Linked DNA regions of Saccharomyces cerevisiae S288C. The protein of the gene in region 3 interacts with the protein of the main gene of each other region in a pairwise test. Each region holds a gene or a part of one and is shown on either strand. Other genes may lie near its edges.

The links. Proteins that work in one complex are often made in the same cells at the same time.
Region 1: the proteins of RRP14 (region 3) and FPR3 interact in binary tests that used the Saccharomyces cerevisiae proteins (3 or more experiments, as listed by UniProt).
Region 2: the proteins of RRP14 (region 3) and NOC2 interact in binary tests that used the Saccharomyces cerevisiae proteins (3 or more experiments, as listed by UniProt).

What each region holds. Positions count from the first base shown.
Region 1 is NC_001145.3:118,954-123,193, reverse strand, and holds FPR3 (peptidylprolyl isomerase FPR3), read left to right. Parts: upstream 1-1,869; coding exon 1,870-3,105; downstream 3,106-4,240. UniProt on the Saccharomyces cerevisiae protein: Proline isomerase that belongs to an abundant class of enzymes that catalyze the cis-trans isomerization of X-Pro peptide bonds and can accelerate the refolding of proline-containing polypeptides. Specifically binds nuclear localization sequences.
Region 2 is NC_001147.6:725,467-730,779, forward strand, and holds NOC2 (mRNA-binding ribosome synthesis protein NOC2), read left to right. Parts: upstream 1-2,045; coding exon 2,046-4,178; downstream 4,179-5,313. Other genes in the region: GEP3 (Gep3p), read right to left, coding at 98-1,768; DNA-directed RNA polymerase III core subunit RET1, read right to left, coding at 4,542-5,313. UniProt on the Saccharomyces cerevisiae protein: Involved in the intranuclear transport of ribosomal precursors.
Region 3 is NC_001143.9:280,344-284,942, reverse strand, and holds RRP14 (ribosome biosynthesis protein RRP14), read left to right. Parts: upstream 1-2,613; coding exon 2,614-3,918; downstream 3,919-4,599. Other genes in the region: TEF4 (translation elongation factor EF1B gamma), read right to left, coding at 488-1,521, 1,848-2,052; HOT13 (Hot13p), read right to left, coding at 4,084-4,434. UniProt on the Saccharomyces cerevisiae protein: Involved in ribosome biogenesis and cell polarity. Required for the synthesis of both 40S and 60S ribosomal subunits and may also play some direct role in correct positioning of the mitotic spindle during mitosis.

The DNA of each region.
Region 1 (4,240 bases), on a different chromosome or scaffold from region 3:
TATATGCAGGTAAAATTATAATTTAACTACAGTTTCATAAGTGCATTTGTATTGAGCATTGGTTTTTTATTCGCATATTTATATCTTCATTGCGGCAATCACCCAGAGAAAGGGCGTGAAAAGAAAAAGGAATACATTATTTCAAGTTCCTTTGATCTTTCCTATAATGTAGACTTTCTTGGCGCAAGACTTGGATGCATCATACAAAATACAAATTGTTAAGCAAAAAAGTGTCGCTCTGCTGTAAGCTTTGTGATGTTATATTTGATCGTATGGTGAGGAAAAACAATACACCTCATGTTATATAATGATCGTTGTTTTAGGTGAGATGTGGAAATAGAAGAGAGATTTTTAAACAAAAAGTAAATGGTTTTAAACGTTGGCAATAACAAGGCCTGCTCACAGCAAATAAAACGGGAATAGAACAGGAACGGGAATAGAACAAAGATAAGAAAATTGAAAGTAGAAAAGACAAATAGTGAGAAACAAAATGCAAGAGAAAATGCATCGCTTGAGCCCAATGTTCCTACCAATATTAAGGGGATTTCAGGTATCAAAGTCGCATTGACGTATAAAATACTCCAAAAAATGCGCTCTGTTTACTTTGTTATCTATGAAATGAGGAAAATGCAACCGGTGAGTGTAAAAGCATCCTGCAGGAATTTGTTACAACTTCATCTCAGTTACCAACATAGCCAACGGACGTCGATATTGTCCTTTACCCCACTGGTAGTGAAATACTTTCGAGTAAATGTCAGGACGTTAGAAATCATCCGAGTCATGCTTCGACTCCATGTATTTTTATTCTCTAAGTGTGCTTTGGAGTTTCCCCGCGAGTTCTCACAGAATTGGCTTTACTGCCAAAAGTTGAAGACAGCATAGTCATTGGCTTCGTCAAAAGATCTTCATTATTTAAAGCAAGCAATGATCAATTCTAAGACGGGTTAACAAAATATGGACAGAGCATCTTCAAGCAAAACTAATGCGGCAATGTTAAGCTTACATATATTCGAACGGTAATAACATCGATAATACGGTTATAGCCACCAACTCTGCATTATAGAAATGAGAAAAGCGCCATAGCTATTATTTAACGTAACTTACCAGAAGTCCTTGAGCAGACGATTGAGCATTGAATAAAAAATAAAATTCTTGTAATTCTTGGAAGGAAGAACGACACAAATAGATAAATGGCGTATTTTCTGAGCAATGAACTGTGTTCCATCAAAAACATTTTATCGCACACCATAGGCACTTAGAAAAACAAACCTTTGTGCCAGTATTTGAATGAAAACACTTTGGTTGAAATGTATTGTGAAATTAATCATCGAGCACTTTACGGTTGGCAACGACACATTACTGACGTTCTTTCGCCGATTTGTTACTTTAATATATTGTACAAAAATGCATCAAAGAACATAAAAGAGAGCGATCGCACAATCAAACTTCTTTTGGAAATAATCTGTCATCAATGCTCCAAACATTCTACTATCACCTGTTCATGATATTATGGGGAGAATATGCCAAATGTATATGACACATCGCATACTTTCTACCTTTTTCAACTGGCTTGCTTCCTCTACCTTTCACTAAAATCTGGATTGCATCTACATCTATATAGTCAAAACCGGCAAGAACAGAGATTATGATACATGCTTCATGTTCCATTGATTAGAATCCACTAGTATTAGCTCGCTGTTCAATTTTCAGCCCTCTACGGACTGTCGTCATTCCTAAAGGACGGCAAAATTTAAAAGTGAAGGTAAAATTTTTAAATTCGAAAAAAGAGCCTACTAACACGTTTCTATATAATACATAATTGTGTGAAAGTTCATACATAATTGAAAGCAAGCATCCAACCAGCCCAATATGTCTGATTTGTTACCACTAGCTACCTACAGTTTGAATGTTGAACCTTATACCCCGGTTCCAGCAATCGACGTCACGATGCCCATCACCGTTCGTATTACTATGGCTGCTTTGAACCCGGAAGCCATCGATGAAGAGAACAAACCATCGACTTTAAGAATTATCAAAAGAAACCCGGACTTTGAAGATGATGATTTTTTAGGTGGTGATTTTGATGAAGACGAAATAGACGAAGAATCCTCTGAGGAAGAAGAAGAGGAAAAAACCCAAAAGAAAAAGAAGAGTAAAGGCAAGAAGGCTGAAAGTGAAAGTGAGGATGATGAAGAAGACGATGACGAGGACGATGAGTTCCAAGAATCCGTCCTTTTGACTTTATCTCCGGAAGCCCAATACCAACAATCTTTGGACTTGACCATTACTCCAGAAGAAGAAGTCCAATTCATTGTCACTGGTTCTTACGCTATCTCCTTGAGCGGTAACTATGTTAAGCATCCATTTGATACTCCAATGGGAGTCGAAGGTGAAGACGAAGATGAAGACGCTGACATCTATGACAGTGAAGACTACGACTTGACCCCAGATGAGGATGAAATTATTGGCGACGACATGGACGACTTGGATGACGAAGAGGAAGAAGAAGTTCGTATTGAAGAAGTCCAAGAAGAAGATGAAGAAGATAATGATGGAGAAGAAGAACAAGAAGAAGAAGAAGAAGAAGAACAAAAAGAAGAAGTTAAGCCAGAACCTAAGAAAAGCAAAAAGGAAAAAAAGAGAAAGCACGAAGAGAAAGAAGAAGAAAAGAAAGCTAAAAAAGTAAAGAAGGTCGAATTCAAGAAGGACTTAGAGGAGGGTCCAACAAAACCCAAAAGCAAAAAGGAACAAGATAAGCATAAACCAAAGAGTAAGGTTTTGGAAGGCGGCATAGTAATCGAAGACCGTACTATCGGTGATGGCCCACAGGCTAAGAGAGGTGCCAGAGTAGGCATGAGGTACATTGGTAAGTTAAAGAACGGTAAAGTTTTCGACAAGAACACCAGCGGTAAACCATTTGCATTCAAACTTGGCCGTGGTGAAGTTATCAAAGGCTGGGACATTGGTGTTGCCGGTATGTCTGTTGGTGGCGAACGTAGAATCATCATTCCAGCACCATATGCCTACGGGAAGCAAGCTCTGCCAGGTATTCCTGCCAATTCCGAACTGACATTCGACGTTAAATTGGTTTCTATGAAAAACTAGTACACGCGCTCGTACGGATAGATGTTTATATATATTATTCTTTTTACATAATATTGTAACCTTCTGTATGTAAATCCGAAAACATTCTATTTCTTTTTAGTATCTATTGCTCTTTATAAGCTTTTCATTTTACTTTTCTCCGCGGATGATACAAATAAAGAAGCTGTGTTGTATAGAAAGAAATATATGGCGGCAAAAAAAGCGTTATCTTCTTTCTGTTCCTATTTCACTGAGTGCTACTGGATGGTCGTCAAGAAAGGTGAAGAAATCTTCAAAGCAATAAGAATTCAGACATTGACGTTAAATTAGATTATCGCCGCAGCTGTAATTGCGGTTATGGCCTCTAGTATTTAGTTCGATGTTAATGAAATAAAGCGCAAGCTGACTGTGAACGATAACCGCCAGGAAGGCTAGACACAGCTCTTCAGCTAAACAGTAGCCGGAACACATATACATTAGGGAACATTAGAAATAAGGCTCTCGTTGATCATCCTTGTAACTGAAAATTAGAACCGTTAAACGCTGCTGATTGATGGATTCCAGCCGTTCTCTTCCAACCCCTTTTACCCCGATTGTTCGTCCACTATCATGACTTATTATCCACTAAAGTGGCGTTGGCTGTACATTCGGGTGATGGTAGTATGGTGAGCACATGCTTTAAGTCCGAGAAACTAAGCTACAAAACGGAATTTCAAAGGGCCCCATTTTTATCGGGTGGACTAAGGGAAAGAAAAGCCTTCTGGAGAAGAGTTGGAAGACCTCAGCGTAGTGCGAAGAAAACGTAGTGCGAGTCTCTACGCCCGCTCGTTTAAAACTCTATAGAACGTCCGAAAGAAAGGTCCGTACTAGCTATAGGATCTCTACTTTACCTATTATTATCGCTAGGTGATAGCTTATAAAACAATTCATCGGTTTCTTCCTCATTTTTCCTGTATCTTTTCGGCTATGAAAAGCTGTTGTTCGATAAATCCAGGCAAAGATTTTTGAAAGTTTAAAAGATCTAATTTTCAAAGGCATTCCTTTAAAAAAGACAACTTGAAAGAGCTATATTCGTCTTCGGTTTTTTGATTTTTATTAACTTATTTTTTTCTTCTTTCTACCCAATTCTAGTCAGGAAAAGACTAAGGGCTGGAAC
Region 2 (5,313 bases), on a different chromosome or scaffold from region 3:
TGAATATACTTTGTTCCCAACTTTCTTTTTAGTTTACTTACATTCATATTTACATGTGCGTTACTACTTATTGGTGCAACCAAGTGAACAGCGAGTCTTACCATTGGTAGTACCAATAGGGATTCTTTTTTTTTTCTAGGTGTTGAACCAAATCATAAGGATCATCGTCGACAAATCTTCTAGCAGATAAATCTTTCTCGGTTTTTTCTAAATACGACTTCTTCACTGCGTTCAAAGTATCAGCTTCATCCGGGGCCATCTCATACAGGGAACTGATGATCGGTCTATCTCTGGGACAGCTTGACTCTTTACCATTTGTTTCAATGTAACGCTGGTAGCCAGACTCAATCAAGTTTTCTAGCGGTTCCCTTATACCTACTTGGATACCCCTAGGTATCCATATCTCATGTAGTCCTTTGAACTCATACCTCCCAGTTGTCCTTAATAAAATATATCCTATATCTTTCAGAACGATCTCTATACTTCCAATAAATGGAGGTATTGCGTACCTTTTGTACTGGCTTTTTTCGCATATAACGCTTTTAATTCCACAATACCGTGATAACGGATGTGTGCCAGATGATGAATTGCACGAGTTGAATACATCAATACCTTTTTCAATGTTCTTGAATGTTTTTGATGGTCCTGGTATGTATTTCACAATCTGATTTATGGATCCTTTCGGAGGTACCAGGTAGAAAATCCCTCCCACGGTATAACAGCCTCCCTGTGATGTGCCCTTCATAGACTCATAAGTCTTCTGTTTTATATGCTTCCGATTGAATAAATCGGTTTTTCGCAGCCTTTGAAGCCAACGCTCGTCGATTAGTTCTTCTAGGCGTAATCTGGAGGTGGAAGTTGAATAGCCTGGAAGATCAAAAAGTATTTTACCTCCAACTTGGTAGGCTTGTACGGATCTAGTTAAATTGGGAATATGTGATACACCAGCAGCTTGAATCTTGAAAAAATTCTTCGGGTTCGTAAAAGCTTCTTGCATCACTTCTTCAGAGGGGGAGTTAATTTTCCCAGTAGAATCAATTTTAACCTTATATCCAAGATATTTCTGTAGTAGAGTATTGATCAAAGTTGATTTACCAACATTAGGGTTGCCTAGCAAATATGTGTAGTTTTTAAAGTAGTTGTAAAACATGGATATGTTCCAGTTTTTCAGCGCAGATATGGCGAATGTTTTATTTGAGTCAATTCTTAAAGTGTTCTTTAAAAATTGCTTCATGAATATAGGAACCTTTTTGCTGACAGCATTTTTATCTTTAAAAACTTGATCGCTTTTCGTTAACACTAATGTAGTATCTAAATCATTTCGTTTCAAAACATTGGGGTCTAAATGTAAGGGAAATTCTACAAAGGGGACAATATGCATAACATTTGAGCCTCTGGGGACGTAGTTCAGAATATCATTTAATGTGCTTTCGGGAAACTCTTCCGGGTTATAATTGTTATGATGAAGGGCATTACTGCACCTTTTGCAAATCACTCTCAATAGTAAATCTCTTTTGGTTTTGAGGTCAGGATCATTTTGAGTTGCCTGTTTCGAGAGCTGTATGTCTTGACTGAATAGCAAATACTTCAGATCTTGGAGGTCAGGATTTAGTTTTGAGTCGGGTAGACTTTTTGGCTTCGTATAATATCCTGGTTTACTAGGATCCTGATCCTGTAGTTTTATGGAACATGACGCACATTTCACTTTCACAATCACAGAACAGGAAAACTGACGTACGCCTCGAAGAGCATGACACAGATTCAACATTCCCGCATATTGAATTGTTCAAAGTAATTAGACGTGTTACTAGGAAGGTCCTTCGTTAATATTGCTCTGTTAAATGTATCTTGACCCATAACATCAAATAGTAGTTATCATCTTCGACGAGTTTTGAAAAATTTTCTGAATTTTTTCTTCCGATGAGATGAGCATGATATTTACAGAGAAAATAGAGAAACAGAATACTTGTACATGGGTAAATTCATTTATACTAATTTTTGAATTGTAAGAGAGATAGAGAAGGTCAACAATAGAATAAGTGGAGATGGGTAAAGTTTCTAAATCGACCAAGAAGTTTCAATCGAAGCATTTGAAGCATACTCTAGACCAAAGAAGAAAGGAAAAGATCCAAAAGAAGAGAATCCAAGGCCGTCGTGGCAACAAAACTGATCAGGAAAAGGCCGATGCTGCTGGTACTAGGGAACAACAGCAGTTGAAAAAATCTGCAAAGGAAGAGGTTTTTAAGGACATGTCTGTCGAAACTTTTTTTGAAAAGGGCATCGAAATTCCAAAAGAGAATAAAAAATTGAAGAAAAAAACTACGAAAGAGCAATCTGATGAAGATTCCTCCTCTTCCGAAGAGGAGGAAGACATGGGACAAAGCATGGCAAAGTTGGCCGAAAAGGATCCCGAATTTTATAAGTATTTGGAGGAAAATGATAAAGATTTATTGGACTTCGCAGGTACCAATCCATTGGATGGAATTGATAGTCAAGATGAAGGTGAAGATGCTGAAAGAAACAGTAATATTGAAGAAAAATCTGAACAAATGGAGCTGGAAAAGGAAAAAATTGAGCTTTCTTTGAAATTGGTTAGGAAATGGAAAAAACAACTTCATGATTCTCCAAGCTTAAAATTACTAAGGAACATAATCAGTGCTTTCAAGGTTGCTGTAAATTTGAACAAGGAAGAAAACATCGAAGACTATAAATATGCTATCACTGATGAGAAAGCATTCCACGAATTGATGTTCATGGTCTTGAAAGATGTACCACAAGCGATTCAAAAGATGGCCCCATACAAGATTGTAAAAGGCGCAAGGACCTTACCAAATGGAGGTAACGTCTCCAGGGTCTCGTCCATTGTCAAGTCGCATGCTGGCTCTTTGTTGATTTTATTGAATGATATTACTAATACGGAAACAGCAGCATTAGTTCTTCATTCTGTCAACGAATTGATGCCTTATCTTTTATCATACAGAAGGATCTTAAAGGAGCTTATTAAATCAATTGTTGGAGTATGGTCTACAACGAGAGAATTAGAAACCCAGATTGCTTCTTTTGCCTTTTTGATCAATACCACCAAAGAGTTCAAGAAGTCTATGCTAGAAACAACCTTAAAAACAACGTACTCCACTTTTATCAAAAGTTGTCGTAAAACGAATATGCGTTCTATGCCACTGATTAATTTTCAAAAAAATTCGGCAGCTGAATTGTTCGGTATCGATGAAGTTCTAGGTTACCAAGTTGGATTTGAGTATATTAGGCAATTGGCAATTCATTTAAGAAATACAATGAACGCGACAACTAAAAAATCCAGTAAAATTAATTCCGCAGAAGCTTACAAGATTGTATACAACTGGCAATTCTGTCACTCCTTGGATTTCTGGTCTCGTGTACTATCGTTTGCTTGTCAACCAGAAAAGGAAAATGGCAGTGAATCTCCTTTACGACAATTAATTTACCCATTGGTTCAGGTTACTTTGGGTGTAATCAGATTAATCCCAACACCACAATTCTTCCCATTAAGATTTTATTTGATTAAATCACTTATTAGACTTTCTCAAAATAGTGGTGTTTTTATTCCAATATATCCTTTACTTTCTGAAATTTTAACCTCAACGGCTTTCACTAAGGCACCCAAAAAGAGCCCTAACTTGGCTGCTTTCGATTTTGAGCACAACATCAAATGTACGCAAGCTTATCTGAATACAAAAATATACCAAGAGGGTTTGTCAGAACAGTTTGTGGACTTATTGGGCGATTATTTTGCTCTGTACTGTAAAAACATTGCATTTCCTGAACTTGTAACACCGGTTATTATCTCTTTACGCCGTTACATCAAGACTTCAACTAATGTCAAACTTAACAAACGTTTATCAACTGTTGTAGAAAAATTGAACCAAAACAGCACATTCATCCAAGAAAAGAGATCAGATGTTGAATTTGGGCCAACAAACAAATCTGAAGTTTCAAGATTTTTGAATGATGTAGCTTGGAATAAAACACCTTTAGGTTCTTATGTTGCAGTACAACGTGAAGTTAAGGAAGAAAAGGCCAGATTAATGAGAGAAAGTATGGAAGAACAAGACAAAGAAAGAGAAACAGAAGAAGCAAAATTATTAAACAGTCTGGAAAGTGATGATGACAACGAAGATGTTGAAATGTCAGACGCTTAACAACTCAGCAAGATTTGATTTTTTGTCTTGAATTCAATAGTTAAGTCTATAAATGTGTAAAATAAAGAAAAGTCTTTTTTAAAGCGTATATATCATTGTGCTCACATGTGCTAACATGTGAGCACTCCAAGCTTTCTCTTGTCAGCTGGATATTTTTATATTTTGGCCGGTTTATGGATAGAAAACACGTCAAACGTTCGATGGATCTTATAAAAAGTAATGATGTAAAGCAAGGTACAAAAATGAAAGAAGTACGGTTTACTGTTATATAATTTTCGAAATCGTTCAACTCTCTTAAAGTTCCTCACGAAATAGATATGATTGCTAACATAACGCAAAATTTAGTACAAGATATATGATTTCTTACTGCTGGAAGATATCTTCCAATCTTAATCTTGGGGCTATGTTCATGGATAATAATTCCTGGAATAACAGTTTTGCTGCATATGGAATAGTCATCTTAATAATATTCTCAGCACTTTTGCAGGTAGTACACCAACCACTATAGCCCATTAATCCACATTTATCGCAGACATCAACTTCAAAAGCATCTGAACTAATCATCAACCTTTCTAACAGCAATTGTGAAGCACCATACGCGATTACACAATCCCTCTCCATCTCACCCAACCTCAGACCACCATCTCTAGATCTACCCTCAGTTGGTTGACGTGTCAAAACAGCCCTTGGACCACGAGCTCTTGCATGCATCTTATCTAAGACCATATGCTTTAACTTTTGATAGTAAATGGGGCCAAAAAAGATGTAAGCCTGTAAACACTCACCTGTTATACCTGAATATAACATATCCTTACCGGAATAGTTGAAACCTTGGTCTACCAAAATCTTAGACATATCTTCAAGTTTAGAACCACCAAAACAAGTACCATATTCCAATGTACCATTCAATACACCAGCTTTACCCGATATCAGTTCGATCATTTTACCCACAGTCATACGAGATGGAAAACCGTGAGGGTTCATGATAATGTCTGGAACTATACCTTGATCGTTGAAGGGCATGTCTTCTTGCTTTACAATAATACCACAAACACCTTTTTGACCATGTCTAGAAGAAAATTTGTCACCTAATTCTGGCCTTCTGTTTTGTCTTAGCAAAACTTTGATTAAAGCT
Region 3 (4,599 bases):
GTGTTTCTAAAGCACTGTGACAAATCCTGCTTGAAAGCACATGATATCACCAGACGTGTTGCACTATCTTCAGTTCTATCCTAAATTGTTTTCCAGTCTTAAGATAAAATTCATTCCAGTTCGGGTAACATACACCGTTTATGACTGACGCTTCTCTTTACGGAAAATTGTTTTTTTCGCTATTGTTGCAAAAGTACAATGGAAAATGCCCCACTGAAACATGAAATAAGAAGAGAAGAATCAAGTTTATGCAAAATATTGTTAGAGTAACCGCAGCAGATTGTGATACTCAATTAGAGAGATTATTACAATATATATATATATAATGATTACATGGACGTTAATCGTTACATAGAATTAAACCACGCGTAAGTATGGGGTAATCATGAAGTAGACTTCAGGGTTTTTTTCTTTTTTCTTTTGAAAATTCGTTTTGTTTGACTCTTATGTATATTGGGAAGAAAATATGGAAGAAGAGTTATTGAGATTATTTCAAAACCTTACCGTCAACAATTTCCTTATCTTCGCCATTGACAACAACAGGCTTATCCCAAGCCCACATGTTGTTGACAAATTCTTTGTCTTCTTCCTTGGTTGGGTCCAACTTGGTGTATTCGTAAGATTCCCAGTCTGGAGCGACATCAAAGGCTGGAGCGAAATCTTGGCCTCTGACCATAACGGCACCAACAATACCATTATTGTTGTTTTCACCATAGACAACTAAACAACCGAACATGTACTTAGTAGAAGCGGACAATCTGTTGAAAAAACCACCGACCAAGTTGTTGGACATGAAAGTCAAGGTAAGTTCGTCGTTGTATTTGTAACCAACCTTCCAGATGGAGTATTCTTCAGGGTTGTAGTGTTCCCAGAACCATGGCAAAGCAACTGGTCTGGTGTCGTCGTTGGAGTACTTTCTCTTCCAGTCATCCAAGACAAATGTGGACTTTCCTAAAGCTTCCAATGGGTGCTTTGGCTTTTTAGCTGGAGCAGCATCATCTGCTGGCTTAGCTTCGTCCTTCTTCTTTTCAGCCTTTGACTTTTCGGCCTTTGGCTTTTCAGCCTTTTGCTTCTTTGGTGGAGTGTAGGTTAGAGCCTTTTCAGCCAATTTGACTTCAGCAAATGGAGTCTTCACGATTGGAGAAGCAGCAACAGTGTTGAACCATCTCATCAAATGAGGATGCTTAGCTCTCCATTCAGGGCCCAAAATAGTGGCCAAACCAAAAGCCCAAGAACCAGCGGCATGAAGGTCACCTAGAGAAATGTTTTCGGTAGCAACAAAGGTGTAGTCTCTCAATCTAGCATCGAAGACAGCAGCTAGGTTGTCGATTTTAACAAAACAAGCATCAACGTCTTTCTTGTTGTATGGAATCAAACCTTTGAAAGAAAGGAATGGACGAGCAATGTTGCTCATGACATCGGAATTAGCTAGAGATGCCCATCTAAGGATTTGAGACTTTTCGATAACGTCGGAACCTAATAAGCGAGCTCTTTCTTTTTCATCGGCAACTTGATTAGCCACTAAATATACATCATCTCGATGGTTATACAACCATTAATTGAAGAAATGTTAGTAAAACAATCCTTTATATTTTTTCCTGGATTAGGACACGCTTTGTACTTCCTTTTTGTTATTTTGACTTTCATTTTTCTTTAAGAAACATATCAGAAATACAAATATCAACATATGAGAGGTTACCTATTATTACCCATTCAGACAGGGATAACTGTTTGATAAAATTTTTTTTCATCATTATGTTTCGAAGAAAAATGACGTGCCAAATAAACGAACGGGAAACGCGCAAAACAATGTATGTGGAAGTGTTAAAATAAAATATGGAACATACAATAAAATTGGATAGCCAAAGCTTCAGTTAGCTTTAAGCCCTTTGGACCCAAAAATGCAGGGGCTTGCTTCAATGGGAACAAAGAAGCAAACTCGCTAGATTGTTCTAGATCAACGATCTTGACATCTAGTTTAAAGTAAGAAATCAAAGCTTCAGAAGCGTAGTTTCTTGGAGATCTATTAATGTATAAAGTACCTTGGGACATCTTGAATCTATCGAGGGCCAAAATCAAAGAATTGAGTTGGTATTAAGGATGGACACCAGTTTTGAACAAAATTAACGACGGAATGGATGAATTAAATATGAAAAAGAAAGTATTGCAAACTGTTGATGAAAAAAATTTTTCTTTCAATTTTGTCAGCAGCAGAGCGCATTACCCTGCCGGCCACATGCCGAATTAAATTAAATGAGGGCTGCTATTGCCAAATGTGATGGCTTGCCTACAGAGGTTAATTTCCCTTGTTTTGGGCTTCCTCTCTCAACACGATTGACACAAGCAATAGAGGCAAAGGTGTGTAATGAGTTCGTGTACCAATTAAAGTAAAGTAGAGTGGTTTAATTGGGATTACACGATTAAAAAGTTTCACCCAGACACCAAATTGAAAATTTTTTAAAATGAATTCTTTTTATTCTCATCTCCGGTAAAGAAAAGAGGAAAGTACAATAAAAGAGATGAGATGACCAAGAGATGAATAACAAGTGAGGACTGAGACGTTGTTGCAAGTGATAAAGAAAGTCCGGGAATTGAAAGATATAGGAGACTGAGATGAGTAATTCACTTGAGGAGCGCCTTCGTGCTAATTCAAGCGCCTTCGATGGTTTATTGGCTTTAATTCCTGCAAAATACTATTATGATGAAAAAAGTCAAGAGCAATGGAAGGCCAAGAAGAAAACCAAAGAACAGAGTAAAAATGATAAACTGAAAAAATTAGACCCGGAGCAACGTGATGATGAAACATCTAGTACATTAGAAGTAATGAAGAAGAAGGAGAAAGACGCAAAGCCGGTGGTCCTACCTGGTGAAAAATTCAAGCACATGAAAATGCAAAAGCAAAAGGAAGCAACATCAAAAGTGGAAGGAGACTCCGACCTGAACGTAGAAGTAAACGATCCTATGATAATAGCACCAGACGAAGATGAAGAAGAGGAAGAGGATATTAAGGTGATCTTTGATGATGAGGGAAATGAAATACCATTAGAATCTAAAAAAGATACTACAGAGCCCGATAGATCTGTCGAAAAGAAGTCTATTACAGAGGAAGAGAAACTACAAAGAAAGAAAAACTTGGAAGCACTACGTTCCAAGTTACAAGCGAAAATTTCAGATATGAAGAGTAAAAGGAAAGCACCCGGTTCTAGAGAGGCTATTCTTGCTCAAAGGAAACGCAAGGAAGAGTTGAAAAAAAGAAAGCGTCTAGAAAGTGAACAGGAACAGGATCAGGATGAAATTGCGTCTGATTCCGATATGGAAGACATCGATAGTGATTTAGAAAACAATTCGAAAAAAAGATTCAAAAAAGGCAAGAAGGACTCAGAAATTAACGCAGATGGTGTAATGTTTCAAAATATCATATTCGATGATGGTGCAAGGGCCACTTCAGATTTACAAAGGTTAAGAAAAGCTGGTAGAACGAAGGGTCCGGCTAAGAATGATGTAAAATCACACTTAAAGTTATTAGAAGCCAAGAAGAATAAGATGGAGGCGAAAGACGAACTAGAACAAATCAAGCAGAAGGAAAAGGAAAAATGGCAAAAGGCTATGTTACAAGCAGAAGGAATTAAGATTAGGGATGACGAAAAACTACTTCGCAAAGCTATAAAGAGAAAGGAAGCACAAAAGAGAAAGTCTGCGATTGAATGGAGCGAACGTAAGAGGGTTGTGGAAGACACGATATCTGAAAGACAAAAGAGAAGAGAAGAGAATCTGAGGATTAGGAAAGACAACAAGGGTAAAAAGAGAAATAAGCAAGAAAAGATGAAAAGAAAGTATGTCGGTAGTGCCGTACCAAAGAAAAGAGCCGGATTTGAGGGTAGATTAAAAACAGGTAAAAAGAAGGGAGGACCTAAATAATAATCACGATAATAATAACAACAATAATAGATATATATATATGTATGAACATATATATACAGATACATATATATATATATATATCTATATATATACCATCGCATTTTTTCCTTAACGAGAAGAGCACAGCAGAGCTTAAGATGGCATGCATTTATAGAACAACACTCAACACATAGCGGGGGGAGGGTTCTGGAAATACAAATGGTAGTGCAATTTACAGCCTGGATTAAAGGGGGATCTGCAATTGGGACAAATAAGGTTTGAATTGTAGTCGTAATACTCTGCAAACGTCATTTCATGACGGCAAACTCCGCAAATAATCAAGTGTTTATTTGCATCGTCAAGGAGATCATATTTTTCTAGCGGGTGAGAACTTAACTCTTGGTGGCATTCAAAGCACGCATAGTACTTATCACAACATTTAAACCTGATGGCAATTACATCCTTTGGAAGATGCCAGTGGACACATCGAGATTGGTCATCCACTGTCTTACCATAAATGGCAGTTTCGATCATCTATATTTGCAAATTGTAAGTGGTACGTATTTTTTTTTTTATATCATATATGTATATTTAAAGAAACTCGTAAACCGAAACGTTTATTCATCATTATCATCATCATCATCATTATCATCACCATCACACCGCGCGCGCCTATTTAATCATTTTTGTTTTTCCTCG